Linked DNA regions of Lytechinus pictus. The protein of the gene in region 3 purifies or fractionates together with the protein of the main gene of each other region. This does not show direct contact. Links are inferred from orthologs where the notes say so. Each region holds a gene or a part of one and is shown on either strand. Other genes may lie near its edges. The genes, in order: serine/threonine-protein phosphatase PGAM5, mitochondrial-like; GA-binding protein alpha chain-like; kelch-like ECH-associated protein 1B.

Region 1 (10,567 bases), on a different chromosome or scaffold from region 3:
AGACAGGCAGATAGATAGATAGAATGAAAGATATATAGATAGATAGAATGTAAAAAAAACTAATAAGCATGCTGTTAAGCCCTCACTCTAAATATAAGTTGCTTAAACTTTTTTTTATTATTGTTTCAACCTTATAAACATAGATAGTTAGATAGATAGATAGATGGATGGATGGATGGATAGATAGATAGAAAGATATATAGAGATCGATAGATAGATAGATGGATGGATGGATAGATAGAAAGATAGATAAATAGATAGAAAGAAAGATAGATAGAATGTTAAAAAAAAACTATTAAGCATGCTATTAAGCCCTCACTCTAAATACAAGTTGCTTGAACTTTTTTATTATTGTTTAAACCTTATAAACATAGCTAGTTAGATAGACAGATAGAAAGATCGATAGTTGGACTCCGTGGATGGATAGATAGATAGAAAGGTAGATAGAAAGACAGATAGATGGATAGATAGAGGGATTGGTGGATAGATAGGAGGATGGATGTATGGATTACTGGATGGATAAAGTTATAGATAAACCTTTCTTTTATAGATAAATAAAAAAGCTACATGTATATCCAACAAACCAATGTTATCAAAAGGAGTGTGGTTGTCGAATCTATATGAAAAGTATAGTATATTGTTGCTAATCAACTCTCTTAAAGAAACACCGCAAATTCACGAACTAAAAACGTAAAATTTAGGCATGTTGTTTAATTTTGTTTTAATTGTGGAGAAAGGCAGACTAACTAGATGTATAGATAAATCGATGAATACGGATAGAGGAAAACTAATAATAGATGAATTAAATAATCTCATTTTTATTTACGAATTTAAGCAAACACATAAATCAAATGAATAAGTTTATATATTCATAATAATGAATGACATGAATGAGTCAATGGACGAGTGAATCAAGGGGCGTTAGTCGAGAACTGATCAAATTTAATACAGTGTGTGAGAGCTGAGGGAACACATCTTTAAATCGGCTGGATAATAGCTGCATGTTTATTACGATCGATGTGTATATAATGTTACCATGCATGCATTCTTCTTTATTTCTTTAATTAGTTCTGCGAACCATGGACCTATATGTGCGAACTAACTTCTCCAATTTAGCGGTCGGATGAGGGTCATGCCAAATATGGGTCTTATGAGGGCGCAAACCTATTAGGAGCTTTGCTCCAGATGAAGGAAATAATGACATATGTACCCTCTCATTCTGTCTCTCACCCCCTCTCCCTCTGTCACCCCTTCTCCCTCTCTCTTCATTCTATCATCTTCTAATTTGTTTTCTTTTCACCTGTAAACACACAATCATACATAATTATTAAGGTGTCATGACGTTTTTTCGTAACACGTTCCCACAAGTTACTTTCTCGTTCCCCCGACTAAAATTGGGAACAAGTGAGGTTATCGGCCCAAGTTGAGGTAACGAGTCAATGAAAAAACGCCAAGTCAAGTTAGGGGCTCTAAACATTCAACCATGTTCCTTGACAACAATCCAAACATTCATACAAGCTATATCTTTCTTTTAATTTAAAAAAAAAAAAAATTGCCACTTTCTGCTTTATTTTCTTCTCTATTTTCTGGTCATACCAATTTTACCATTTCATTTCCAAATAAATTTAATAGATATAGGTAGAAGATATTCCTCAAATTGAGCTAATAGGCAATGGTATATAAGAAGTATTATTATAACATGGGAAACAATAATCATATGACAGCATTTCCGTAATTTTATTACATAATTTGTATTTCTTTTAAATAAAAGAGAGATTACAGCATACAATTATTGCTAGAAGATTATTTGATCTAGCTCAAATGGATTTGAACAATTCATAAGTGTAAACATAGGATTTGTAATCTGAACAATCACATTGATACAATAACATAATTTTGAATAACATACATTATTCTGAATAAAGGTTGTGAGACAGATATGTTAAAATATGAAGATATCTAGAAATGAACAGAATTCAGACATGTCAGCTACTGATTTCAGAAAAACAACTTTGCTACAAGGAGTGTACCAAGGACGTTGCTACCAGGAGGGGACAGTGGGTAGAACCCCCCCCCCCCCCCCATGATTTTTTAAGTCATGAAGAAAAAAAAAGGGAGGGAAATTTGATTAAAAATTGGGTAGAAAGGAAAGAAGAGAGTACAAACAAGAGAGGACTTGGCCATGCAACTGAGAAACATTGCATTATTCAAGAGGGAAAAATTACATCAACTTAAGGTAATCTTCGATCTTAGATCATGATCTGAACATTCAGTATCCCATAAACATAAGAATTTGAGAATGTATTCATTCTATGTGTAGCATCCATACAGTGAACATGCTGAAATCAAGTTGTTTATAGCAGTAATTTAGAAAACAGAATTACATTAATGATGATTTAGTGAAAATCCACTGAGGAAAGTTATGAGCTTTTGAATTATAATTTCATTAGCAGTTCTTTGCTATGATATTGATTCCATAAAATCCTTAAAAAAGAAATTATATACTTGTGCATTCAATATCATCATACATTATATCACATGTGCTTCAATGAGATGAATATTCTGTTATCAATCATTAAAAAATGTAAATATATGGAATGTATACATGAATATGGGGCACCTGCCTTCAAGTGACCTCACAAAATCTAAAATCTAAAAACTTTATTTAAGTATGATGGATTCTCTTGAAACCTTTGTTAATATGTTTCTCTTTATTTTTTTTTTTCATTCATTAAAAAAGCTTTTTGTTCTGGTGAACTTCCCCTTCATCAAATTATAATCCCTGGGGGCCATTTCATAAAGCTGTTCGTAAGTTAAGAGCAACTTTAAGAACAACTGGTGAACCCTTCTTACACGCTAAACCATCATCAATTCAATATACCATTTACCACAAGAAAGGATCACCAGTCGTTCTTAAAGTCGCTCTTAACTTACGAACAGCTTTATGAAACACCCACCTGGCATCTTATTAACAAATTCATTCCTTTCATAATCCTCATTTGCTTAGATCTTTAATCCTTTATCAAAAGACACATCTGAACATATGACACAGACTATAAATAATTAAAAACTAATGCCACCCTAAGTTAAAAAATCAAATGTTAATCTTTCTGCTGGTCCTCGACCTCCTTCTTTTGATCTAGTTTTACTTTGATCTCCTCCGGTATCTCCACATCCCTAAGATTCTCCATTCCTGGTAGCGGTTCATCCATGATGAGGACATCAATCACCTGATGACACAGACTCTCAACTTTCTCATCCTTCTCCCACTGATGATACTCCCTCAGGATCACATATGTCCTTTTTTCCTTCACGATCCGCCGACCCTCCTTTGAGGCACAGAGCTGAAAGAAATGACGACAAACTTTTAATAATGAATTTTGTGTTAACCAAGACTTGATGTATTTTCATTCTACATGAAAGGAGATGAAAAATATCCATAGACTTAAATCATATACTGTACTGCGGAATAAACTGCCTAATAATCTGAGGGCCATCACATGTACTTCCACCTTTCTCAAATCTTTAAAAACGGACTTGTTCTCACGTTAGATTATTTTGTTTAGGAAAGGTATGTTACAATGTTTTGTTAATCTTTCATTTAGTATTTATGTATTTTATTTCAAGTATACCTGTATTAGACTTACTTACCTCTTTTGTAAAGCGCACAGAGATTCTGTCGAATATTATGCGCTATATAAGCATCTATTATTATAATTATTTATTTGAACAACTAATTTCTGAAGTAACCCGTTACATATAATGTGTAACTCAAAATTGAAAATATCAAATATGAACTTGTATTTCTCACTGAAATTGTATACTCTATTGAAGACATTCAAGAGTCATCACTGGACTATCTAGTTTCATCAGGAAGAATAATAAACAAATTATCAATTACTATGATATTCTATATATAAAATCATATATTTCATGCATTTAATGACTATGGAAGCTGTATCCATCCATCATTAGATAGGTACTATTGGCGGGCCTAATCTTTTTTCCATCATTAGAATTATCGACTTATTTTAAGGAAAAGGGGTCATTTTTTCAGTAATAGTCTACATACATTCTTAACAATTTTTATAGCAAGGGGTTACAGTTTTCTTTCAATTTCAACACTATCTGAATATTTTTAGCACAAAAAAGAAGAAATCTAGAAGTTCAAAAAAAGAAAAATGAAAAATACTAACTTGATAAATTGCTTCCAAGAGCATAGCACGAATATCAGGATCATCCTCCCTCTTCTTTGTCTCCTCAAGATACTGAAGATCATCTGGTAATCCTTCCATATCCTCCTCACTCAGCTCTTCAGGACCAGCTAATGGTAGCAAGAGATGGGGCAAGATATCCACATCATCTCCTAACAACCATTCATGAGATGCTAAGTAATAGTTGAAGGGATAAAAAATGGTTTGAAAACAGATTAATTCAGAAAATATACTTGGCTCATATATCAAATGGAAATGCTGGCAAATGTAAGGATAAGGATTAAAAAATTATTATAAATGTATGTACACAATATTTATATATTTACAATTATACAAAAACATATGAATAAGTATCTATTTGTGCATCCATGTCTATAAAATTCTCTCTCAGAAAGAAGAATTTGTGAATTTATCCAAGAATGTAATACTTGATTTTTCACTTCATTATCGATACAAAAAATAGAAAATAACAGATCATTGTACTTCTATAACGTTCTAAGAGAAAGCGTTAAGTGACAAGTGTCATCACCTAAAATAATATGCATACATGGAAAACTTATATGAGCCTAAAACCTAAATTTTGCCATTTAGAATCACGATAGAGGTCATTTCAAACTTCCACTTCATAGATGAACAAAGACGTGACTAAATGCGAATAACATGACTGCTGACAAGGACAAGTAATAAATAAACTTTTCTGAAGATTTTTTTCCCCCTTAATTCCAATCATTACCAGTTTCAAAACAGCAGTTCCTCAATGCTGTTGCTACTCCTCTTCTCCTGGCCATTGATAATTTATACTGAGTAAATGGAAGTAACCTCTGTACAATGCATCGCTCTCTGTTTAAGATATATTCTCTTGCTTCGGTAAGCTGAGTTAGGTTGGCTAATAAAGGTCCAACATAGTCAAGACTCGAGTTCTTCTTATTGTAACCTTCTTTACAAAACGCTTCCACAAGTTTGTTCATTCCAACAGCAGAACTTTCATCATCATCATGTTGAAGAATTTTTAAGACCCGTTCTGCTCCAGCTCTGTTTCGAGTTAAGTTGCTAAGAATCATGCAAGCTTGCTTGGCAAAAGGACTCGAAGGATTGATGATCGTCTGCAGCAAATGGGATATGTACGACAGATCAAGGGCAAGTTTTTCTGCAAAGCTATCTTCCGATGACAAATTGACCACAATATGATAAGCCTGCTCTTGGTGGGATTCGTGCACAGCATCCGAACAGATAAGCTCCCCCACAGTTTCGGCTACGGGCAAGAGCTGTGTCCCGATGGTGAGTCGCCCCTCTTTGCTTGCAGTCGTACCAGTCACATGCGCGAGTGCCGTGTCCCTGACATCGGGTCTAGTTGTCACTGATAGGAACTGAATCAGTTCTTCAATAACTGAGGCATCTGCCATCATCAATATGAAGGGGAAATATCATAAATATGAGAGAGAAATTCATTAGAAGCTGAAACTAGTTATTCCATGTAAAGCAGCGCAGCAGAGCAGAACTCGCCTATAGCTAAATAGGCTTCTCTCGCGCTCGCAGGAGTTTTATTTTGTTGACCTTTTTCAGCACGTAGATATGTAGGCTTATGTCACTAAAAACGACTGGTGGGAAATAGTCTACTCATTAAAAAGCATTCCACTTCCGGTAGCGTGACAACCTAGACAGAGACGGAAAATCTTCCATTTAATTTGATTTTATTGGTAAATTGTTTGATTGAGCAGATTCTGAAATCATTTTCTGCACCGGATTGAAATAATGCCATCGTTTAATCATGGTTTTAGAGCCGCGAAGCTCTTAATTGGAGTTTCAAGTGGGGTTGCGTTTGGAGCAGCTGCAATGAAATATTCCCAGCGAGAGCGAGATGGATTCCTCCCCACAGCTCTGGCGGCGTGGACTACCAATCACAACCCAAGTGTCAGATGGGATTCCAACTGGGACAAGTTAGTTTTGTGTTCTATTCTGAATTTTTGTGGGGAGCTTAACCGAATATAAAGTTCATTTACAAGTTCCTTCTCCTTACTCTAGAATCCAGAGGTAGAATATTCATGAATAAATTTCAAATTAAGTTAAATTTGAAAAATCATTTCTCTGAGACTTGAGTGATACTATTACTAATACTAACTAGCAAAACGTTTATTCTAAACTTAGTTAATTATAAAGTTTGAGAAATTGAGGAGGAGTTATTGAAAGAAACTGAGAAATAAAGCAGTGGCAAAAATAGTCATTTCTGACTGGTTACCAGCCAAACCAAACAAACTAGGAAGAGAAGAAGGGTTAGAAGGGCTTTGTGTCTATCAACCAAAATTTTACTGTTAATAATAATATCTAGAAAAAAAGAGAAACTATGATTTTATTGATCTTGTTTTCTAATGAAAAGGAAAGGTTTGTGCCCTATTTTGTACTTTCCACTAATGGAAGGCCCTTCCAAAATATGCTCAAAATTGTAGTTTTCAAGCTCCCTTGTGCAATATTTCTCAAGTCTCAAGATTACATGTATATTGAAAAGCGGATCACAAACAAATGGAGTTCATAATCATAGAATCGATAGTGAACACACAAAAAATAAGAGTGTTTTGTATGTTGCATAGACTAAATGCAGACAGGGTGGTTGCAGACTTCAAATGTGTTGGGCTAGAGGCATTCTGCTCTGCAAGAAAAATGTGTTCTGAAAATCCTTCACAAAGACAAACTTAAATTACATTATATGAAGTTTAACTTTGATATTTAAAGCTTGGAAGTTCAATTGTAAATGACCATTATACCTGATGATTTCTTTGAATTGTCAGTTGGCCTTGTCCCAGCCCCTGATTATGCGGGGATGGCCAGGACTGATATTCACTTATTAAGCTAGACTTTGCATGCATGCTTTTTATCTGGATTCTGAGTATGGCGATTTTTATTTGTAGGGTGATTGCAAGTGCAGGCTCTCGGGGCTTTTCATCTGCATCAATTGACTGGGCTCTGTTGTTCAGTTGACTGGGACTATTATGATCTTCACCAAATTTCTGACTTTGCCAGGAACATGCCTAAAAAATAAATATTTTTTGTGCACAAGTTAATTCCAAGGCAGGCCCTTTACTTAACTTTATAAACCAATTCTGTATTGCTAGACCCTATGATGTTTCTGAATCATTGAATAGGCAATTTCAATATTGTCATTTCATTCACTGTAAATGTAGAAAAGGGCTTTGCTAACTTTTCCTGATACCTTATTGTTTTTCCAAGCAAAAACTACAATGATTAATTTCAAGAATATCCTTATTGTCAGGAGAGACCCACAAAGCTTGATAGATCCATCCAGAACTGAGGTTGACTCTAAGGATCCAACAGCCAGCCTCTCTGGAGCAAAACCAACAGCAACCAGGCATCTGATCCTCATCAGACACGGACAGTACAACACTGATGGGATCACTGATGATGTCAGGATACTCACTGCACTGGGTAGGTACTTCCTGCTTCCTAGAATTATTCTGCTCGAGTTAGAAGTACAAAGTGGAATATGACAACAAGGCGTCACATTTTTTTATTTCATTTGAAAAATATAAAAGCAAGACTCTGATCCTGCACTGCCTCAAGTACCTTTATTTTTTATTTATTTACTTTATTATTAATTTGTTTGTTTATTTTTTATGATTAAGAATAATAATACACTAAGGCAGAGTGGATTTGGCACATTACAAACCCCATCTATTATTATTTATTACTGTACATTCATTCAACCAAAGATTAATGTAACAGATTGATAAAGATTAAGTGTCAATGATCCTTATTTCTTGAATTTCAATAATTGTTACACTGAAAGTCTAAACCTTTGAAAGTTTGCACAATGACAAGTGCGTTCTAAATTTGCAGGATTAGGATTTTAGTAATGGTATATCAACTTTTTGCAATAAATATTTAAACGTTATGAAATATTTTAGGACGGGAGCAAGCCGAAATGACAGGAAAACGACTGAAGGCTCTGAACCATCCCTATACCACCATCATCAACTCTACCATGGCCAGAGCTATAGAGACGGCAAACATTGTCTGTCAACAACTACCAGATGTACCTCGTGAATCATGTGAGCTCCTGAGAGAGGGTGCACCAATACCCCCTGAACCACCAGTGGGTCATTGGAAACCGGAAGTCAAGGTGAGATCATTATTGTGTTGATAAATCATTTTGTCTTTTATATGTATTTTATGTAATTATTAGTTTTAGTTTTTTTTCCCGTTAGATAACATCAATGAGCATTTGATGTTTCAGATGCTATACTGAATAGAATGAAGATAGGAATGAGAACCTCTTTAGAAAAAAGTGTTTTATTGTAATGAATGAAATATACCATTAGGTATTTTGAATTAATGAAATACAGGTAAGTTTGCCTATCATTAAAGTTGAATCGCTTAGGATGAAAGAAATTTGTATGACTCGGGCAATGATTTTGTGAGGTAATTGCTTTGCACAATCTAGCTTTAAGTGACTCATGCAGACTTAAATGGACGGCTATATACATATACTTGCATGAAAAATAACATGAACTGATGGCATCACCCGCTTACTACATGTAGGCCTATAGGCCTATCTTTTGTGATTTATGATATGAAACATGAAATACTTTAGTTTTCTCCTCATGATCATGAGAAGCAAAGTTATATTTCAACATCTACATGTGGAATCAGTATTGTTGTAACCTATTGTCTCTTTATTGTCAAATCTTAAAAAAAAGTGAAAAATTGTATAATTCCAATACAATATGAAATAAAAAATGGCATCATTAACTCTTTCATTGCATATCATTGTGTTGTGCATATAATTGTTTTGTGAAAAATAAACAGAATTTTAGGATATCATAACTTTTGTATTTTACATTTGATTTCGATGAAATTTCCACTGTCATGCTTGTTTTGATTTTCTCTCCTTATTTCATTTTTTTTTTGGGAGGGGGTGGACTTGCCCTTTGATAACTGGATGCCTGTTCTTTTTAATGGAAGTTAGTTGCTAGAGGCATTATTTTCCTATTGATTATGTTTTTTCCTAGTAGAGATCTTCATCACAGAAAACTTGACTGTTGTTCATTACTCTAATTTCTGTGCTAAAACATGTTATATTTCTGTATCTGGTTTGTTGTTCATGTTTTGGCTTTCCTGTTTGCGCCTTAGTCTTATAGATTTAGAGAGCTCTAGAGAGAGAGAGTGTGTGTGTGTGTGTGTGTGTGAGAGAGAGAGAGAGGGAGAGAGAAGGAGATAAATCAAGAAAGAGAGGGAGATAGGGACGGGGAGGGATAGAATGAGCAAGGAAGTGGGAGAGAGAGTTGAAATTTGGGGAGAAAGGAATAAATGAGATTGTCTGTACTTCTGTAAACTGCAATGTGTTCTTTTTGTTGCTAACACTTTCTATCTGTCTTATCTGTTTCCTTTAACATTCCCTTGCCTCTTGCTGACAACCTTGTCTTGGCATTCTCTAGCAGTTCTATGAGGATGGAGCTCGGATCGAGGCTGCATTCAGGAAATACTTCCACCGAGCTGACCCTGAACAGACGAAGGATAGCTTTGAGGTCATTGTATGCCATGCCAACGTCATTAGATACTTTGTATGCAGGTAACTGGTCTGTTATGATCCTATTTTTGACATGTCAAGCCCAACACACACTCAACGACCTGGGGACCCGTTTCATAAAGCTGTTTGTAAGTTAAGAATACTGGTGATTCTTTCTTGTGGTAAGTGATACTCACCATTGAATGTCCATTGGTGATTACAGTATTTAGCGCATAAGAAAGGTTTACCAGTTATTCTTAAAGTCGATTACTCTTAACTTACAAACAGCTTTATGAATGACCCACCTGTTTGTTATTACGTTTTAACAAAATTGTTATAATTATGTTTATTTACACTCCAACTTAAAAATTCTTAAAGATCAAAGTTTCGAATAGTGGAATGCATGATTAAAGATAAATGCCAGTTGTGGTAATGATCTCAAAATGAGCTTGTACAGAATCCAATTAAATGACCACCAAAGTGTCTGTATAAATAAAAAACATGTGCCAAATGATTCTTGAAGAAATTGTGTAATTGCTGAGAAATTAGCAAATAAGCACGGGATTCGGGCCAAGCGTCGGGCCGACATTCTAAGCAGTAATAATACGCTGTCCCATGTGCGCTTATCTGTGTTGGTGACCTTCAGTGTGGACATTTTTCAGCGGAGATTTCAAGATTTCACAAAGTTCAGTTTATGTAACTGTCCCAGATCGAGATCCTCGATGATATAGTGACAATTAAGCCTGGTTTTACAGACTTTCTCGTGAAATCAGTGTTTACTGCAACTACTTTCATTTATCTTTAGTCAATATTCCAGTCTTATTATAAACCTCCC
Region 2 (10,770 bases), on a different chromosome or scaffold from region 3:
TAGTGTCACTGAAATATTAAATTATTTCTCTAAAAAGGAATATCGAGATAAATAGTTACCTGAAAAATACGGACACGTACGAACGCGTCAGCGGACACAGCCCCAATCTAATTTGCATTTACGTCATCAGATGGCGCTACATCCGCGGGACATTTAAATTTTACATTGGATCTCAAGTTGAAAATCATTCATGAAAAGGGCTTGTCAAATTCCCCAGCTAAACCACGAGATGGAGAAAAACATAACTTTTGGTGGATAAATAGATATTCAAATATTGCTATCTCCCTATAAAAATTGTATTTTCGATCAAAAAATAAGACAATGGAAAGGAGCCAAAAGGGATAAAAAAGGCAGGAGGAAATAGAAAAAAAAAAGTGATCAGAGACTATTGTTACTATTATTATTTTGAGGCCTATAAAAAAATCAAATCCTCTTGTAAGTATTTTTATAGGCATTACATGGTATAATGATTGAATGAATATGTTTTAGGTCGTATATTAAAGCGGTTAATAGTCCAAGCAGAATAACATTATGATGCACAGTGTTTGTTCTACGCCAACTTGAGATTAAAAAAAACAATAGGCCTCGACCCTATGAATAATAATTATAGTCAAGACCAGGGTCCCGTAACACAAAGGTTAGCGATTAATCGTACACTTGATTTTCATTATTGATTGATTGTACATTGTAGTCAATGGAATCAATCGTAGAAAAATGTTCTACGATCATTGCTAAGCTTTGTGTTACGGGCCCCAGGTCATGTAAAACCAACTCCTCTAACTGACTGGGTAAAGTTTGATAAACTTGAATTTCTTAAGAGCTGTTTCATTTCATCTCATTTATTCCCTCATTACATTCATTAATTCTTTCTCTTTCTCTTTCTCTTTCTCTTTCTCTTTCTCTTTCTCTTTCTCTTTCTCTTTCTCTTTCTCTTTCTCTTTCTCTTTCTCTTTCTCTTTCTCTTTCTCTTTCTCTTTCTCTTTCTCTTTCTTTCTTTCTTTCTTTCTTTCCATCTTTCTTTAGATTCTTTAGAAACTTAATATTTTCCAATTTTCGCGACTATGCAAGAAAAAATAAAATAGAAAAGGAAATTAAAAGAAGGGTAAAATGGCGACGGGATTATTTTCTGAATCATACATTTATGTCAAAGCCTACTAGTAACATCACAAAAATTTGATTTTTGTCTTAAAAGTATTTAAGAAATGAGGCAAGCAACGTGCGAGATCTATAGTGAAATGTCAGGCAAAGCATGCATGCCAATTGATGATCGATCGTTTGGGACTGCCCATAATCACGAGAGTTACTGTTTCAGTTTAAAACTTTTGATTGGCAAAAATCGAACGGGCATTACCCGATTTAACACTCTACTAAGGGCGTAACATGGGTTGGTGGTCAGGGGGGGGGGGGGGCAAGAGCCAAATTTTCCCGGTCATATCATGATATGAACAGGATTTTTTTTTTTTTTTTTTTTTTTTTTTAGGGCGAAGCTCAATGCGAGATAAGTTCAAAAAATTAGGGGTACAGCATGGTGCGCGTGGCAAAAACTTCCTTAATATAAGTCCCGAGACGAGCGAAGCGAGCGAGAAAAAAAAATCACCTTTTCATTACATTCTAACTTTAAGATTTATTTGACATGGTATGCAGAAAATAACATCATATCTTATATCTTCCTTTAATCCTTTTCCTTTCATTTCATTTTCTTTCATCTTTTCTTTTTTGTTCTCGGTTGTATCAATTTTGGGGGCCAGTGCTATGCGGATCGGGTCCGGGGCAATGACGGCACCAGGATTTTTAACCTAGAGGAGGGAGGCAAAAGAACATGGGGGGCTAATATTTGTTTTAATGTAGACCCTACTGACTTTAAAATGGATTTGTTAAGGACTAGTTGTTTGCATTGGGTCATGAAGATGATATCTCACTAAAATAATAAATAATGCGAGCGCGAAGCGCGAGCTGAAAATTTTTGAAATCCTTAGAGGATATAACTCAGTGGACGTTCTAAGCACTTTTTGTAATCATAACTGGATGACTATTGATGCGAGCGCACAGCGCTGGCTGAACATTTTTGATTTATGAAATTGCAATACGCAGGCCAATGTGTATCTCGCAAAAAACGAATAATGAAAACCCTAATCGCAAGAAGCATATTGAATTGAACATTGGATTTTTAAGCCCCATGTGAACAGACAAGTTTTCTTATCTCAGTCAACAATTACTGCGAGCGCGTAGCGCGAACGACAATTTTCATTTTATAATAATAATGACCTGAAATATTTATAAGCTGGGAACTAACAATGAATGGATGAGAAAAGTTTCAAAATTTAAAGAATGAGCTGTTTTGGAGTATTTTGCAGCTTTAGTAGGATGCTTATGACAACATTTACCCCGTGTCTCCCCTTATTGGTGCCGCCTCTGGTCTGGGGCGGAGCCCCGGAACCTCGTAAAATATTTAAACATTGCAGATGGCCACTTTTTTTATCAAATCGCGGGTACATGCACAACAGTTAAGGATAAAATACAAAATATTTTGAGGCAGCACAACGTAGCAATGTGGTAAAATTTGTAAAGTCGCCAGCGAGCAAAGCGAGCCAGAAAAATTGGCCTTTCTAAATTTGAAATTAAATTCTAATCGGATAGTACAGCTTTAAAATAATAGCCAACGTAAACATTAAGAGGCTTTTTACGTCAATCTAGCCAGCGTCAAGCTTTGATTCGGTATATAACTCGGGACATATATTATACTGTTTATTATACTGTAAGAATGCTTGTCTGTAAAATTGTATTTGATTTGTATTACTTTATATTACTTTGTATTATGTTTTGAATGGAAATGGAATAAAGAATTGAATTGAATATAATATAGGGGATATAACTAGCCCTTGCATGGCTAATAAGGATTTTTTGGGGGTCCTGATTGCGACCATTATTGCATGAAATTAAGCAAGCTTATTATAGACGCCATTCCGTTCTTTATATTTTTTAATCCTTGGCAGCCAGCTAGGTCGTGTTCTTAATTTCTTTTATTTTTGTCTTGTTCATTGGCTTCATTATTCTGATTTTTCAAAATTAGCTCTTGGCTCTTTCATTTCCCGTGTCTTTTTACCTCTTTCTCCATTTTGCTGCCATTCTTGCCCGTGCCATTGGAACATATCTTTTTATTCTATTATCTCTCTCTTGCTAATGATGCCAGTATTTCAGGATAAATTTGTACTTCCTCATATGTTTTTCTCTCCTTCCTTTTCCGACATTCCTTCCCGTTTTCCCTATTTGTTCTTTATTTCTTTCCCTTTTTTTCTCACTTTTTCACTTTCCCTTTCTTTTTTTCTTTCTGTCTTTATTTCTTTTTTTTTTCTTTCTTTCTTAGTTTCTTTATTTCTTTCTTTTTCCTTCCTTCTTTCTTTCATTCTTTCTTTCTTCATTTCTTTATTTCTTTCGAAGAGGGGCATTAATTTTAAGGTTTGTTTGTAAGAATTCACTAAGACCATACGTATTTCACTATATGCGAGCGCGAAGCGCGAGCTGAAAATTTTTATATTCAGACTATAAAGGGCCATTTATGAAGACTGTATACAGGAATTCATGAAGAGCAGACATATAGACCAATCCACTGATGCAAGCGGACTGGAAATGTTTTATATCCAGACCTTAAAAGGGGATCACTTTAACGCCGAGTAGTCATGAAAAGGAAGCATAAACTACGTATTAAATTAACTCAGAGTGCGAGTAAAATATTGGTTTGATAACGGGATGTTTTAAGATTATATATCTTATTAAACAGACAATGCGATCGAGCACCATGAATTATGACAGCCCCTTAGCAAATTATGTTTCATTAAGTTATGAAACAAATATTTATCATGTTCTATAATAATATAACATAATGTAGTACAATAATTTCTTCCCCCACTATATAGGCCTACACATTTATCTTTCTCCCCGGTCTTTCTCCCCCTTTTTTCCCTGTTTTTTTTTTGGGGGGGCGGCCGACTTGGGGGGGGGGGCACGTGTCCCTTCGTAGTTACGCCACTGAAACCTTTAAAGGGGAAAAAAATCAGTCAAAGTCAAAGAATGGGGGTTTTCTTTTCTAGAACCCTCTTTCCTCGGAAAACCCAGATAGTCAAAGCAAAGAAAAAAGTAATACACCTTAGAATGGGTGCCGTTTATTGGCTGAGTCCGTCTGGGGCCCCGGATCGGGGAATTACAGCGTTAAGTCAAAGAATTGGGGCCTTTTCTGGAACCCTTTGATCTCTCTCTGGAAAATAGTCAAAGTAAAAAATAAGCAATATGAAATTAATGGTTAGAATTAAATGCAAAGTAAAATCAAAGAAAAGTCAAAACAAAGAAAAAAGTTATACACACCCTAATTAGAATGGGTGCCATAGGCTGGGTTCATCTGGGGCCCCGGATCGGGGGGCTACAGTCGGGTCTACAGTATTTTTGAGCAAAAAATACACCAACCACCCATATTAAGAGCTCGATCACTTGCAAAAGGGTTATAGGTCAATTTTTCATCAAATTTGATTTTTATGTCTCAATTAATGTATAGATTAAAATTTGTAGTAACTCTATAAGATGATACCAAAGAAAAGTTGAAATTCCTATTAAAAAGTGAACTTAAATGGCAAAGAAAAATCACTTTTTTTCAAAAGGGTTTTGGTCCATTTCAGTTGAGTTGCAAAAGGGGTACGTTAGGTCCAATAAGATTTTTTGGAAAAGAATATCTTAAAAAATATGAAGACAGGTAGATTTCTCTTATACCCAATTTTATGTTCTCATGGTAGGGTATCACGAAAATTCAGTTTCGCACAAGAAAATTGCGATATGGGAGAATTAAAAAAATGATTTTCTTGGAGTGACCTAACCAAACTCTTCTCATTTGTCAGAAGGGGTTAGTACAGTGATTTTAGTCCATTTTTCATAAATTTTTATTGTTTTCTGTCTCTAATTTTTGTCACTCTGATGATACCCAGAAGGAAAACCAGTTCCACTGGACCAGTTAGACCAGTATAATTTTAACTGGTAACTCTGGAAATTGGAACATCGGTTTACTGGTCTAACTGGTCATACTGGTCCAGTTAAATTTTTACTGGTCCAGTTAAAAATTAAACTGGTCTTGAATTACTGGAATTTTGTACTGGTCTATTGTTGCTGGTGGTTGTTACTGGTCTCACTGGTCTTCATACTGGTTGGTTTCCAATTTCAGCTGGTATTTTCTACTGGTCTGACTGGTCCTCAAAGTGGTAAAACTGGTCCTCGTACTGGTCTTACTGGATCAATTATTACATGCATTTGGTTTGTTATATACCATGGTCAGTGAAATGTGATGGAAAAGATGGTTAGTAAATTAATCTTTCTGCTGTTATTTTAAATGTGATGTATGAAATTACACATTTTCATTGTGAATTAGTTCACCAATTATTTTGAAAGTTTTTAAACAACAATGAGTGCCATTGCAAGGATATCATAAATCCTGATTTTTCTTTTAAAAACAGGAAATATGCAAATGAGGTAAACCACGTGATCAGCATCATCAGAAATACTGGTATTACTGGTCTTGACCAGTTCAATTTCAAACAATGAATTACTTTAGACCAGTTGACTCTATCAGAGGAATATATCTTGCTTTGATCTTAATCATTTAAAAAAGGAAACAATGTTAATACTTAATAATTATGATAATATTAATAATAATAATTACAATATAAATAACAATGATAACAGTAATAAGAATGATAACAAAAATTAATGATCATAATAATCATAATAATTATGATAATTATAAAAAGAATGATGATAACAATGATAAATGATAACAGTAATAACTGTCTCTGAATTGCAAGATTCATTTTCCATAATCATATGATCTGACTTGAAATAAAGTCATTATTTATTTGACCAGTACAACACCAGTTTGATGAAAAACAATTTAACTGGTATTACTACTATGTTTGAACTGGTCTCCAGTTGATTTTTACTGGTCCAGTTAAAAATCAACTGGTCCAGTAAACATATACTGGAAACCAGTAAAAATCTACTGGAAACCATTTATTGGACCAGTAGCATCAGTTTGAGGAAGAACAATTTAACTGGTATTGCTTCAACTGGAATGCAGTTGTTGGAACTGGTCTCCAGTTGATTTTTACTGGTCCAGTTAAAAATCAACTGGCCCAGTAAAAATATACTGGAAACCAGTAAAAATATACTGGAAACCAGTAAAAATATACTGGAAACCAGTAAAAAAAAATACTGGTCTAACTGGTTTTTCCTTCTGGGTACCAAAGACAATTTGAAATTCAAATGAAAACGTGAATATGAAAGTGGCAAAGAAAAATCTCTTTTTTAATCAAAAGAGATTGGATTCATTTCAGTTTACTTGCAAAAGGGGTTAGGTCCACAATGATAATTTTAAAAAAAATATATATATAGGTCTTGAAAAAAATTGAAGACATGCAGGTAGATTTCTTTTATACCCAATTTTATGTTCTCATGATAGGGTAGTACATCATGACAATTAAGTTTCTCATAAGAATATTGGAATAAGTGAGAATAAAAAACATGGTTTTTCTCGGAATGGTCCAAAAGTGGACCGATAACGTCCTAATAAACCCCTTTTGCATCTAAACTCTTCATTGTAGATAGTCGACTAGACGTGCATTTTGCGTTGCGAAAATTGCGTCGCCGAATTTGAGTCAAAGCCGTGACATCGGAACCGGAAGCTGTGAATTTAAAGCCCTTTTTGACCGTAATACTTGAAAATATTAAGCGGGTACTTCTGCTAACTTGCTAGCGAAAACACAATTCCAGTTAATTTCCACTCGTATTGGTAAGTAGGAAGAAAATAAAGTCACAGTATGGTTCAATATCTCCGTACGTGTCTAATTGCTTTGTTCTTGGCGTCTTAAAAATTCTATGCAGTCCCACTTGTTGATATTTCTGTACTGTCTGTACATGTACGTTGAGTAACATTCTGCATTTAATTTTAAATTTGGTTTGTCACAATGCATGTGTTGTTGTTTCAATGATATGTCTAACGTTATGACGAAAATGCAAGGGCCATGCAAGGTACGATAGGGACCTTTAATTTTAAATAAGGTTACAAATGGACTTTTTGTGAGAAGTTGTAGAGTAAAATTCTGGGAGACTGGGGTAAAAATAAATGAAAAGAAAAAAAAATAAAGCAGGTACCAGTTTAGACAGCAGGCAGCCGTCTGTTTCGAGGAGTTTTTTAACATTTTTTTATTTTTTAAATTTCTCCTCATACACAGACGGCTCGCTATCGTGCAGCCACCATTAGGGGACTTACAATTAACCCTGTAAGTAAGAGCTCTGATCGGATCGGATGATCGGGGGCACATACTTATCCCTATGATCGGTATCGGTCGAAAATATCGGCAGTAAATATCGGATTTTGCTATTTGTTTATCAAGCACAATAAACAGACCCATATTGTCCTTAGCTGACCCCATGCATGCCAAGCACTACTCACATATCTATTCATCCCCTGGAAGTCTGGGTTTCACTGTCAAGCAAGGCAGTGATTTACGATTGTTCTACGCCGACATGACCCAGCTGGTTGGTATCACTACCAGCGTTAGAATGGATCTCCCGCCCTCACAGCGCGCCCATATAATGTTGTAAATTCGTCATCACAAGCCAAAGCCCGGCCGACCACTAGAGAGAGGGAGAGGGAGGGAGCATCGGAGCTCATCTAATAAATACGCCAACGCAGACACTCCCGATCCAATCCGCACAGAGAGTTGGAGAGAAGGTGTGAGAGAGAGATGGGGAGAGGGGACGGAGGGAGTAATGGAAGAAAAAAAGAGAGCAGAGAGTAAACCTCGTGGAATGATGCCAACTTTTATCTGTGGGTATTTAAAATTTGATTAGGCCTGACGGAAATGTAAGAAAAGTATGTTTTTTGTATGAAGTCATTGTTTCTTGTTGTTTGTTTTGTTGTTGCTCTTTTTTTCAACAAGCGTTGATCATGAAAATAGGAATGATTAAATGTTGAAGTAACAGCAAAATTGGGAAACAGAGTGTTGGAGCAGTTGTTTCGTTCAAAGCACCCTTTGCCCCCCCCCCCCAAAAAAAAAGGGTGAAAGTTAATTTTAGGCCTGGGACGATTGTCATTTTTACCATTCGATTATTTCCTGAAAAAATTAATTGAATGATTCGACTGTTCGTCAGGAATCACATCTTTTAAGTCACAATATTTATAGTGACCCCCCATGAAGAAATCCCCATCAAAGTCACATGTTTATCATAAATGAAAGTAGGCCCTTTCCCCCATTCTCCATGATTTTTATATCAAAAGAAATTACATGAAATGAGATTAAATCTTTCAGTTTATCATTCCAATGAAAATCTTTCCTAAATCAATGCTGGTACCCTGGTATTATGCATGCATCCCTCCAAGTGCCACACCCCTGCATATGAATGAATCAGCCCAGATCAGCCGAGTCCAAAGCCCAAAGACATCTTAGTATTTAACAACTCATTCATGAAGTATTCTTTGAGACTGACACACAGGTGGAGCATTTCACTTGAAAAAAATCATCCCTTGCCCACACCATGTCCCCATCCCCACTTGTGGCATTCCCCACGATGCTACACATGTATTTAAAAAAAATGTTTTGCAAAATATTTCATTTGAAATACCTTTCAAAATTACAAATTTTTATCACTTGAACCTACATGTATAACTGGGTCTATTTTTTAGACTAATCGAGAAAGTACTGGTGAAGGCGGCGCGTGATGGAATGTCGTTTTGATTGTATGAGCGGGATATAAAAAAGGTTGCATTGTTTTTAAATATGAAAGGAATTCTCCGGCTCCCACCCCCTATCTTTCTCTCTCTCTCTCTCTCTCTCCCTCACACACAGATGGGGGAGGGGTCAATTTATTTCTGAAGTCACAACCTTTCCTGATAAGGGAACCACTAGGCCTCTTCTTTGTTTCCCCAAAAGTTTCATTGGCTATCGAAGCCGAAGGTCCAATCAGCTCAAGTGAGCTGATTGTGTGTTTACTTTCTGTTTTGAGCATGCAGACAATGACTTATTTTGTGAATCGAGGGCCAGGTCGGGTGGGATTAACATTTTCGGAGCTCTTTCGTGTTGGTGTGTAACTGTGAATGTGATACAATCATTGATAATTTTTCAAAAATTACCTTGGTAACATCATTTTTAAACCTGTATCAAGTATTCAAAAACCGCTGTCATCATTGTTTTCTTGTCATTTTATTATTACTTGGGTATTCGATTTATCCCAACGTCATAATCGGGATCTGCCAAACATTCGATTAGTGTAAATTTTGCTAATTGATTGGCGATTGGCGGCACGCCATTCGATCAATCGATGTTTACTCCCATGCAGGCCTAAAAGTTATATTAACACAAGCGAAAAATAAAAGGCAAGAGAAAGTAAAAGATCGAAATTGACATTGGAGTTTTCACGCTTTGCGAGGAGATTGGTTGCTTCTGTTCCCAACTTTGGTAACAGATCATGTGTGTTGATGTTTCTGTGTGAAAATGTGGGATGATGGAAAAAAAATCAGGGGGAAAAACTCTTCATTCTGACCCTCTGACATGCGGGACCGTAAGTTGGAGCTAGCTCGTAAATTTTGGCGAAGCCCTGCCCTCCTTGCTTGGAATTGACCAATGAGAATCGTTCCCTCTAATTTCCATTCACGGCACTCAATGCTGATTGGATTTATCATCTGACAAGATCTCCTTTATATCACGAGCGTTGTTTACAAAACCACTGGAGTGTAATGCACACCAGTCGATTAGGGGGATTTTCTCAAGTGGATGTTTCCAAAATATTAAACAAGTCTCGTCCCTGGGGTCAAAGTTGTCAATGAAGGAGATGTGGGCAGGAAAGGGTGTTCATATTTGTTAGGGGTGCACCATTAGATATCCAGGGGAGGGGGCTGGAAGTTTGAAAAAAACTTGACTTGCTAAATGAGCAACATCAAAAAATTGACTCAACATCAGAGTTAAAAAAAAAACTTGGTCCACTGACAAATCATCTCAAAGGTGAAAAAAAAACCTTGTCTCAATGGGGAAAAAATGCTCAAAGAAAGGAAAAAAATTGCATGAACTCAAACTTCCAGCTTCCCCCCCCCCTGGTATCTGGTACGTCCCTTACGAAAGATGATTATTCAGGGATGTGTACCAGCCATGATCCTTCTACTTTTCTTTCCTATCATTTACTTTTATATTTTTCATCGCCATTATTGTCACCAACACAATGTTCATACCTACAGAAGTATTGTTTAACTCGAAAACTCATACTAGGTTTATGTATTAGTCGGGGGAAAAAAATCCCCTACTTGACCTATGAGACAAAAAATTGCAATGAATAAGCCCACTTTTATATGTCGACTAATAGTTGCCCAGTTCAATCAAAATAATAACAGATCAACATTGATACTCTATTAAAAAGCATGTAATTTTCGTTTCTTATAAGACGCACGAAAATAATTCAGTTCCAGCATGTATTGTTCTACGCACATCACTACCCTGTCCCCGGACCCCCTATTGCTACGATCTGGCATTATTTCAAAGTAACATAAACCGTTACTCTCATTCCTTTCAGCCCCCCCCCCCCGTTCTCTCTCCCCCTCGTACGGTACCCGTAGTCAGTCTCTCTCCCCCATCTCTCTCTCTCTCTCGAGCTCACTGAATCTTTGAATTCCCAGGTCATCATATCAGGACGGCCAGCATGGAGCTCCGCCTAGTACCTCGATGTGATGTTGCATGCGTACACGTG
Region 3 (10,709 bases):
TTACTGGAAACCGATTCAGGAAACCAGTTTGGAAGATCGCTTTGCTAGCGTTCCCACTTGATCACACGAAAGTGGTTTTCAAAATCACTTCACGTAAAGCGCTCTTGTTGCTATGGAAACGCTCTCATAGGGGTGACATGTTTCGCGCGAAATTCGAAACCGCAGCATAGGCATTCTACACCTGTCGTGTGGAGTAGCGCGCTCAAAATGTGCGAAGATCGCTTCCCGAAGAACGGTTGTGTCCTCACTTACGCTAAAACCAGTTTAACGAGGCAAAGCGATCTTGAAAACTACATCGCGAGGTGGTTTTCCAAACTGGTTTGCAAGATCGCTTCCAAGACCGCTTCGACCGTTCTCACTACGCGTTAAACTAGTTTCCAGTAAACTAGTTTTAGGAACGTAGTGAGAACAGCCTCTATGTCTGGATTGAATACGGATCAGAATGATTCGACTCGGCAATAAAAACTTACACAATTCAGAAATGTCTGCATTATCTTTTATGAGTGCAGCAAGGATATAGCGTGGCTTATCAATCATTATGGTACACTGAATTGCAGGAATTCAAAATAAGTCCTAATGGACTGTAGTTAGAGACCAGTTGAATTCTGGATTTAGTTTTATAATCCCAAAGATTCATTTTTTAATCTCAAAGGATTTTAATTCAGATCCCTTGATTTGAAAATAATTGCAGGATTGAAAGTAAATCCAGGATTCGATCGGTCTCTACAATGAAACTACAGCTCATTTGGATTTATTTTACATTAGCTGCATCGGCAATAGGGGTATCAGAAAACATATGCCTTTTAAATGTACAGGCATGTATTGTAAATGTACAATCTACATGTATAGTTTTAAAGCTAGATTGATGATCCTACATGTATGTACACCACAGAAATTTAAAACACCTAATCATACAAGACGTGTTTGTCACTAAATTCATGATTGTTAACAATTATTGATAAATTATGATAATTATTAATCTTACTCATTTATTATTGTTACATAACTACGATTACCAATATACATGTATCTGGATTTACCCTGGATGTCAGCACAATATATGTAGACCTTTGTACATGTATCAACTCCCAGGGACTGTGCTTTTCAAGATAGAAAATCGCCATGACTTGCAGAATTTATCATGTATTGGACTTGCTCCGTTGTTGGGTGCTTTGTTTACATATAACCCAATCTGCTGCCTTTGATCCAGTGTATTTTGGAATGGAAAAAAAATGAAATCAGTGTGGATTGCGTTTTTTTTTTTCAAAACTGAAATATATGCCATATCATGTTCAGAATAAGTAGGCAGTACAGTAATATTGCAATTCATCAATTTGATATCAGGGCCTGCTTTGTGGGAATGAATGTTGGTACCTTGGACTTTCAAGATATGGATTGTGATATGATAGATGATGATGATTATGATGATGATGATAGTGGTGGTGGTGGTAGTGGTGGTGGTGGTGGTGGTGGTAGTGGTGGTGGTGGTGGTGGTGGTGGTGGTGGTGGTGGTGGTGGTGGTGGTGGTGATGATGATGATGATGATGATGATGATGATGATGATGATGATGATGATGATGATGATGATGATGATGATGATGATGATGATGATGTTGATGATGTTGACGATGATGATGGTGATGATGATGATGATGATAATGATATCTATAGTTCCATTAGCTTCATGACCTTGCCCCTGTACCTTGATTGTTAGCTATTGTTAGCTACATGTAGCTCTAAGTTCATTTCTTTGCTCTAAGCTCAAGTACTAACTAGCTTTTTCTCAAAAAGATACACCCATTGTATTTATAACTGTTTTGGTAACTGCTCTCTATGCTAATTTGCTCTAAGGAGGATATCTATACTTTGGGGATGAATAAAGCTTGTTTTCTCAACACTTTGTAGAGTGTTAATTGCATTTCATCAGATCATCGTTTGAATAAAGCTCACAGTTCAAAGCTGGGTACCAGAAAATCTTTTAGTCAAATATACTGTCTGCCTTGGCTTATCGTTCGCCTGTAAAAATAGGTTGGCTAGAGTGTCAAGTTTTCATGCATTGTCATTGTTTGATGAACATACAGAGCTACAGTCGTGTACATGTACTGTACGTATGTACGTAACTATGAAATTGTGTTTTTATACAGAGAATCCAAATTCAAGCTCATATTGGCTGATTCGAGAGACTCTTATGTATCAACACGCTCAACCTCTAGGTGGTATATGTCCGGGGGGGGGGGGGGGGGCAGTCAAATATATTGCTGTTCACATGCGTGGCCAAAAAAACGCATTTTAAGGGGTGTTTTTTTTTTCAGCTGTGGACGCGGGCTGCGCGTGCAATTGTTAAGGGTATCAAAAACACTGATTTTCAAGAAAAAGGGTGGTTTTGAAAAACTGGTCAATGGTCAATCGCGGGGTCAAACGTATTTAGGGTATGTTTTTTTAAAGACTAGCCAAACCTGTTTAGGGTATGTTTTTTCCCAAAGCTTTTACCCCGAGGTCATATTCTGGCGACAACTTGTTTGGGGCCAAATTGTGTAAATAAAGCCCACAAAAAACTTGTTAAGGGGTTATCTTGCACACACAGAAAAAACTTGTTTAGTGGGTGTTTGGAAATAATTTGGTCATGCGTGTGTTCAGCAATACATTTGACTGCCCCCCCCCCCCCCGGCATATGCTTTGTTTAAAGAGTCTCGGCAAAATTCAAGCAGTCTTCCGGCATCCTCTCAAATCCGCCTGGTACATGTATCTGCTGAAATGCATTCCAATGTTTGATTCTCTGTATGAAACATGAAAATAGTTTTAGACAAGTTTCTGATGTAATTTCGTGAAACGATTCTTTTCAGTGGGTCACGATTGACTTCATTTAGTAGGTGTAATCAAAATAGGTGTGTATAGACTCCCACTCAACAGAGCGTTTCGAAGAATCGCATTATCCTCATTTTTTTCTTGGGGTATATAGACCTGTGCTTTTGAAATATATTGTGATATGGTTTAATCCCTTATCATGTTTGTGCAAACAGTAAAATTCAGCAAAACGTGGTTTGAATTTCAAAATGCTGTTTCTTCCTATTCTTGCATTGAATGCCATTGCTATTAACTCACAAAAAGGGTTAATTTGGCTTTGATATCGTTTCAACAAGTCAGCCTCCAGGCATAACTCTGCATCACTTATCAATGCATTTTTTACACAACATTACATTTCTTGATACATGTATCTTTGCTTGGGTGTTAAAACCTTGTAATTCAAAATTTAACAATTTTTTAGGGCAGGCCAGAAAGAGTCAGTAGCGTACGCTGGGGGTGGTTGCAGGTGTTCAACCCCCCAAAAAAAAAATGTTGAAGACTTTTTTTTTGGCTTGTCAAAATTTGTGAAGACCTTTTTTTTGTTGTTGTTGTCAACTTTTCATTCAGCTTGAACCCCCCCCCCCTTTCAAAAATCCTGCGTACGCTACTAGAAAGAGTTGTATTTTATGATATGTATAGTATATTATAGCTTAGCTGGGGTAATATAGGAGTGCCTTGAGCACCTAGCAAGGTAGCCTCTTGTCGAGGCCCTGTCGGCTGCTTTCCGAGCGAACATGGCAAAGCAAGGGAGAGAGCGAAGCAGAGCGCCGCGAGACAGGGCCTCTTGACATCTGTGCCGAATTTCACCGACTTTCTTTTGTTTTTTATTGTTTTTACCAATTCACCGACCAAAAACTGGTCGGTGAAAATCATCCAATGAGAGCGCGGGCTGCTATGACGTCATATTAAATATTCATGAGCTCATCTTGAATAACGACCCTTTGATTCTTGGCGAAGAGTGACGACGAAATATCAAAGAGCATTGAATATGCCTCTAAAATGCTGAATATTGACCGATTTAAGGATTTGCAAGTCGATGAAATTAACTCTGCACTGAAAGGACGAGATGTCTTTGTAAATCTATCCACAGGATATGGAAAAAATTTAATATTTCATGCGATTCCACCGGTCGATCCGGGGCGTCGATTATCAATCTCCGCTGTACAGTGCATGCAGTGAAGGAAGCTGGGGTGGAGTTGCTGGGAGTTGACTCGAGTCTGACCAGCGGCTGAGCAGTATCTCCTGGGAAGTTTCGGGGCGGTGATGGGTCTGTTACGGCCAGTAGTAGTAGTAGTAGTAGTAGTACCACAACTTGTAGCATTTTGCTGGTTATATCCCCTTTAGTGTCCCGCAATTAAATGAATCCCCTGCAGAATAGTGGACTACTATCCCGGACTACTATAGTATTCCAAACCCAAGTCGAAACAGCTCTGACATTTCATTGGTTTACTCGGTGACCGGTAATATCATGACTCATGTATATTCATTAGGAAAACGTTCCTCATGAATATATAATTCGGTTCAGATGTCAAGAGGCCCTGGCTCGCGCCAGGCCTAATTCGCTTCGCGAATTAGGAAATCCCTCGCTTCGCTCGGGTAGCAGCCGCCAGGGCCTCAACAAGAGGCTACTAGCAAGGTGGATATGTGCACTATACAAATCCTATATTATTATTATTATTATATGGCAGTGGGAGCAACCTCATATTATCAGGAAACAGTCTCTTATTTCCTGTTGAGAACCCTTTCTAGGCAAAGGAAGGGTTCTTTATGTTTATAACTCTGGAATCAAGTTCTTTTTTAGCTATCTGTATTTCATTTATTTCTTTTAAATATGTATTACAAAATTTTAAACTCAAGCGACGATGTGCACCTGCATACAACTCATGGATATTGCACAACAGCTAGGTTTTTTTCCAACTCGTTGTCTTGCACAGTGTTAAGCAGATTCCCATCAATTGTGATTTTTTTAAATCCAAGTTTTACGTTTCTAAACATTCATGTAAAGGTAAGTATAAACACACCCCATGGCAGCGGGTGTGTGCTGCTTTCTGAATTTCCAACTTTGGTTTGTCTCAAGGAAACATCTTCACAAATTTTTCTTTCTTTTCTCATCTTCACATCTTTATAATTTAAAGGGGAGTCTATGCTGATGTCAAATTGCTCTTTATACAGCTAGGAAAGTGGCAGTTCTCCACCAGTTTTGAGCAGTTTCATATATATAGTTATTAGTTTACAGAAGGACTTATACATTAATCGTGGTTTTATTGGTACAATCATTAAAAGTAAACATGTGAAACAAGTAACTCTTCTATTAATTCTCAATGATTTGTATTAGTACACTTTCTCTTTGTTACATAATGCAATTCAAGTAGTTCCTGTTTGAATATTCTATTTATGGAAACTGGTGTTTGATATATCCCATTGTCTGAGTCTAGTCTTGAGAAGGGATTTAACTGACACTTGTTTATTTAGACCCACTTTTTATGAATCCAATGGAAAATGTGTCTTTGCAACACTATGATGAAGCCAGGCATCTTATCCACCAGGTTCTTTTTTTTTTCAAATAAAGAGAGGGAATAATTGACTTAATTCCCATTCACTTGGTTCATTTGTTAGATAGAGCATTTGTATCAGTTATTTTATGCTTCAATAGATTTCCATTGGACAGGGAGATGGATCAAAGCATAATTCCGTGATCAATAGTAGGTGTCCTATAGCCAAGGTACTTAGGAGTGATTGTGTGTGTAGAATAATGCTGAGTCACATATTCTTTAATACTCCACACTCAAAACCCTGACTGATCAGATAACATGCTACAGTGACCCTCACCTGCAGGCGATAGCATATTGCACCGTTCGTACACACACACACATACACACAACACACACTCTGTCATAAACGCACAGTCATGCCATGGTCGTGCATGCTGTGTGGACTCCCAACTCCTGCCTGCGCACGTATCTACCCGCCGATGCATTCTGGAAGGGAGATACGTAGGCAGTTGAATGAGTCCCAACCGTAAAATGGTTGGCTCGTAGCCGCCGCCGCAAGTTGAAGGTGTTTATAAGCAAGATGACTCGGAATAATTTGGCAGTATCCTACTTTACACTTGCTAGACGAAAACCGGCTTTTGTCATATTTCAGAACTACTAAATTCAATTCGGCCTGCAGGATATCTTTGTGTGTTTATAATTCATTGTATACCTCTGGTTTATCGCCAAATAGCATTGCTGGAATACATGTGCATCATTATATTCAGGATTTGTTTACCTTTACGAGTACATGTATGTGATTTACATCGAAAGATTCTCTGAGGTGTGCTTCGTGTTTCAAGTAACGAATAATCACGGAATAGTCACTGGACTGCTCTGAATATTGCGGATCTATCAACTGCAGAAATATTTTGGAATACTTTATTCTTGTCTTGTCTCTGTGTGGAATTTATTTCAAGAGTGGTATGTTTTACTCATTTTTTGAAGAAAACATATTCTAAATCCTCAGTATCATATTTTGTCTTAACTACCCTGTATGATGAAGATTAATTTTGTTTTGCATGATTGAAGAAACCATGGTGTATATAAGTGTAATTTCTTCAGTTTTGTTTTCATATTTGTAGGCCATGTATAAACTGAAAGACAAGTTTATTTCCTTTTTTTACTATATCATATGGTATTGAATTGATTTGAATCAAAAACATACTTTTCCAATTTTATACCAAATGTGTCAGCATATTTTGATGATGTATAGGCCCTGTTGGATATCATGCCTGAATTAAGGCCTCCCTGTTCTGTTTTTTTTTAATAGTCATTTATATTTATATAAATTTGGGTGATACTGATAGAATATCCCTCATTGATTTCCTTGTTTTGGTACATGGTTTCTAGTACTTACTTAAATGCATTTAAATCTCAGAGCTGCAGAGGCACATCTTACTTTTGTGTAGTGCATGTCACTACTCCAGTTCTTTACTAGATGAATGAATAAATTTGTAATACAGGATAAAGTGTGAGATTTTATGCGAAATATGATTGACTTGGGTGCCCGATCCAGTTAAAGTGTCTACATATTTTTTTTTACCTGCATGGAATGGACCCCAAAAATTCAAGTTGTACATAAATCTATGTAGCTTTCTTATCATATCATTAAATTTCTAAATTATGTGTTTGATTATCCCCTTTTTTTAACGAAAATGTTTAAAGTTGAAATAAAAAAAATTCAAATAAAAATGAAAATGTCGTTTAGGGGGTACTAGACATATAGACTAATCTTAAATTTGAATTTTAAAGATAAATGAAAGTAGTTGTAGTAAACACTGATTTCACGAGAAAATCTGTAAAACCAGGCTTAATTGTCACTGTATCATCGAGGATCTAGATATGGTACAGTTACATAAACTGAACTTTGTGAAATCTTAAAATCTACGCTGAAAAATGTTCACACTGAAGATCACCAACACAGACAAGCGCACGTGGGACAGTGTATTATTCTTGCTTTGGATGTCGGCCCGACGCTTGACCCGAATCCCGTGCTTATTTGCTAATTTCTCAGCAATTACACAATTTCTTCCAGAATCCTTTGGCACATATTTTTTATTTATAAATACAAACAGACACTTTAGTGGTCATTTCATTGGATTCTGTACGAACTCATTATGATATCGTTACCACAACTGGCATTTATCATAAAATCAAGAATGAGAGTTGAGAGTAGAGAAAATATGCTGACTCAACCTAAGACCACCGAGCCAGGCAGTGATCATCCTTACGTAACCAAGTAAATGATAAATGTGACAGTTCCACCATCCGTGCTTGTAATTATAAAACCTACATGTACCGGCACATGGAGCATATTTTATTGCCTGCTTCTTATTTATTATTACCCTATAACACTCTGTCGCTATTTAAATTCAGGTTGTCTCATATACATGATAGTCTTGAGAGGAAGTAGGCCTATTTGTATTGTTTTGAGAGGAAGTATCTTAAATCAAAATACATGTAATGACAACTGCATGTAGGTGAAGATTAAAATCATTAATATGAGTAATTATACATTGATTAAGATTTATTAAGCTGCAGACTGTTTTGTGCTTACTACTAGGCAATAATACAAAAATCATTCGACATTCTGATAAAAAAATATAAATTCTTATTCTGATCCTAAATGCCGGCCACACAATTACTATCGAACTGAGAAAGAGAATGGGAATTGTGATCTCTGATAAAGTATGTTATTTTCTTAAAATTGGCAACTGTGAAGACATTTAAAATGGAACTGCAATTATTGAATTTTACTTATTATTATATTCAAACTTCATATCTTAAGAGACCAGAATATGTATTGATTATTGTCATTTTAGCATATTGTTATTTAAGCAGTGAAAAATAGGAGTATAAATGATTTACATGTAGGGCCCACAAAAAAGAGTCTATAAATGTATTGTAGTATACATGTAGTATAGAAGTCCCAGGAATGATAGATCAAGAAGCGTTCACTCCCCTTTCTGGGTCCTGATTTCAACCCGAGCGAGCGATCGGTGTCAACGAACAGCCACTCGGGTCGCCCTACAGAACCTAGCGCACAGTAAAAGATGCCGAGTCAGCAGTCTTGAGATTCTGTCTCACAGTGACCTGAATGACTCCACAAGATATCTTGCAATGATTCATAGCAGATGGGTCGAGGATCAAACCCAGGTCCTTTAATTGGATGAGATATGGAGTGGTCCAGGTGGGCTTGTAGTGGATCGACTTGCTCGATTTCCATGCGCTCTCCGAAAGTGGTTGGGAAGGAATCTGATTAACCTAGCTACGGTAATCCATTTATTTCCAACCCACTAATTTGGATGATTTGTATTAAGTAAATTTCATGAAATTATGCCAAATTCTTCAAGGTTTTCTAGATCCACACAGTTTGTGTTCATAGGTTGTTGTGCACAATTAGCCAAATTAATGTTAATATAACCTGAGTTTAATCTAATTCTGTATGGATTCACAAACACTTGAAAAAAGGAATTGAATCCGGGGAGAGTGGAATTATTTAGATTTTATACATTTCCGGATTTAATTCGTTGCAGTGACTCGGCACCCGTTAAAGGTGCAGTACAGGCACTCCATACACAAAATGCATTTTCTCCTAGTATTTTCATTTATTGTTGGATTCGAACATTTGACAATTCATTGTCTTTTCATATTATATGACAAACAAATGATACAAAATTAATAATGAAGAGCAGTGGAAATTCCAATCAAATAGATGATACACAGTCATATCCACACTGTAAAACTAGTATGAAGAAATCTGAAGAATTTTCATTAGTCTCAACTTGTCCATTGTGCAATGTGAATGGAAAGGAAATTTGCACATTTCTGCTAAAATAGTTCCTCTACATTTTAAATACCACACCTTTGGCCTTGGTGAAACGATTAACCACAAGTTCATTGCTCAAATTGAAAGTTGAATAGTTACAGAGGGTGGGGCAATAGACATGTATGTAAAGCTTCTTTTGGGGAAACCCCCAGTTTCCACCACTACTATGCTTTGTGTACATGTTGGCCTACATTACAATGAAACCTCCATTATCCTGAACATGACTACATGTATATGAGGCTGTTCTCACTACGTTCCTAAAACTAGTTTACTGGAAACTAGTTTAGTGGAAACTAGTTTAACGCGTAGTGAGAACGGTCGAAGCGGTCTTGGAAGCGATCTTCCAAACCAGTTCGGAAAACCACCTCGCGATGTGGTTTTCAAGATCGCTTTGCCTCTTTAAACTGGTTTTAGTGTAAGTGAGGACACAATCGTTCTTCGGGACGCGATCTTCGCACATTTTGAGCGCACTACTCCACACGACAGGTGTAGAATGCCTACATGTATGCTGCGGTTTGAAATTTCGCGGGAAACGTGTCACCCCACTGAGAGCGTTTCCATAGCAACATAGCTTTACGTGAAGTGATTTTGAAAACCACTTTCATGTAATCAAGTGGGAACGTTAGCAAAGCGATCTTCCAAACTGGTTTCCTGAACCGGTTTCCAGTAAACTAGTTTTAGAAAGCGTAATGAGAACGGCCTCTATGTGTCATATTATATATGTACATAATAGTACACACACAGTTTAGGTCAAGATATAACCAAGGGGCGATTTCTCCGCCCCCCCCCCCCCCCATGATTTTTTTTTTCCGAATAGTGTCAAAAGGGGAGCATGGAAAGGGAGATAATAAGGAAGAATAGGAATAAAGGAGCAAGAAAGCTCGGGGCCTATGTCTTTTTGTAACTCTTCAATAAACAACAATTACATCACCTTCAGATAATCTAGCCTCTGCCCCCCCCCCATACCCTGGTACTGCCCCTGATCTGATGGGCCTATATTGTACAAATCTATTTTCTCTGTAAAGGCGCAGTCACATTTCTCCTATGGCGGCTGCACGGCGAGTCGAAAACACCCGCTTTAACATTTTTTGTACCAGCTATAGGAAGTTTGAATGAAAATGAAAATTGGGTTTTTAAATGGGCTCTAAGAGCCTCCTTGATCCTTCTAGACTCAGTTCAGTTTAGTTCAGTTTATTAAAAAAACCAGACATATTATGAGTACAAATCAATGATCAGATGGTACAAAAGAATACATGATACAATATGAACGGTTTTCTAGGACCCCGAAGAAGCATGGCTTGTGAGTGGGGCCCTATACCTCTAAGTAAGATGTAGATCTAAATGTATAAAATGACAAAGGAGAATACACAATAAACAGATATATCGACTACAAATATGTACAAAATGTACATTAAACAAGTGTCAGCATAAACACAAACACACTCACTCACACACACACGCAAACACACATGACTAGGGTGGCCAACTACGAGATACATGTA

The links.
Region 1: the proteins of kelch-like ECH-associated protein 1B (region 3) and serine/threonine-protein phosphatase PGAM5, mitochondrial-like purify together in Homo sapiens (affinity purification with western blotting; 6 studies listed by BioGRID and IntAct, with this or other methods). This does not show direct contact. The link is inferred for Lytechinus pictus from reciprocal best matches to the Homo sapiens genes KEAP1 and PGAM5.
Region 2: the proteins of kelch-like ECH-associated protein 1B (region 3) and GA-binding protein alpha chain-like purify together in Homo sapiens (affinity purification with western blotting; 3 studies listed by BioGRID). This does not show direct contact. The link is inferred for Lytechinus pictus from reciprocal best matches to the Homo sapiens genes KEAP1 and GABPA.

Annotation. Positions count from the first base shown.
Region 1 is NC_087246.1:20,739,560-20,750,126, reverse strand, and holds the start of serine/threonine-protein phosphatase PGAM5, mitochondrial-like, read left to right. Parts: upstream 1-5,843; 5' UTR 5,844-5,966; coding exon 5,967-6,151; intron 6,152-7,479; coding exon 7,480-7,652; intron 7,653-8,131; coding exon 8,132-8,346; intron 8,347-9,661; coding exon 9,662-9,795; intron 9,796-10,567. Other genes in the region: protein HGH1 homolog, read right to left, coding at 3,102-3,344, 4,197-4,387, 4,948-5,620. UniProt on the Homo sapiens protein: Mitochondrial serine/threonine phosphatase that dephosphorylates various substrates and thus plays a role in different biological processes including cellular senescence or mitophagy. Modulates cellular senescence by regulating mitochondrial dynamics.
Region 2 is NC_087252.1:18,355,951-18,366,720, reverse strand, and holds the start of GA-binding protein alpha chain-like, read left to right. Parts: upstream 1-6,672; 5' UTR 6,673-6,823; intron 6,824-10,770.
Region 3 is NC_087255.1:5,858,428-5,869,136, forward strand, and holds the start of kelch-like ECH-associated protein 1B, read left to right. Parts: upstream 1-5,705; 5' UTR 5,706-6,299; intron 6,300-10,709. UniProt on the Homo sapiens protein: Substrate-specific adapter of a BCR (BTB-CUL3-RBX1) E3 ubiquitin ligase complex that regulates the response to oxidative stress by targeting NFE2L2/NRF2 for ubiquitination.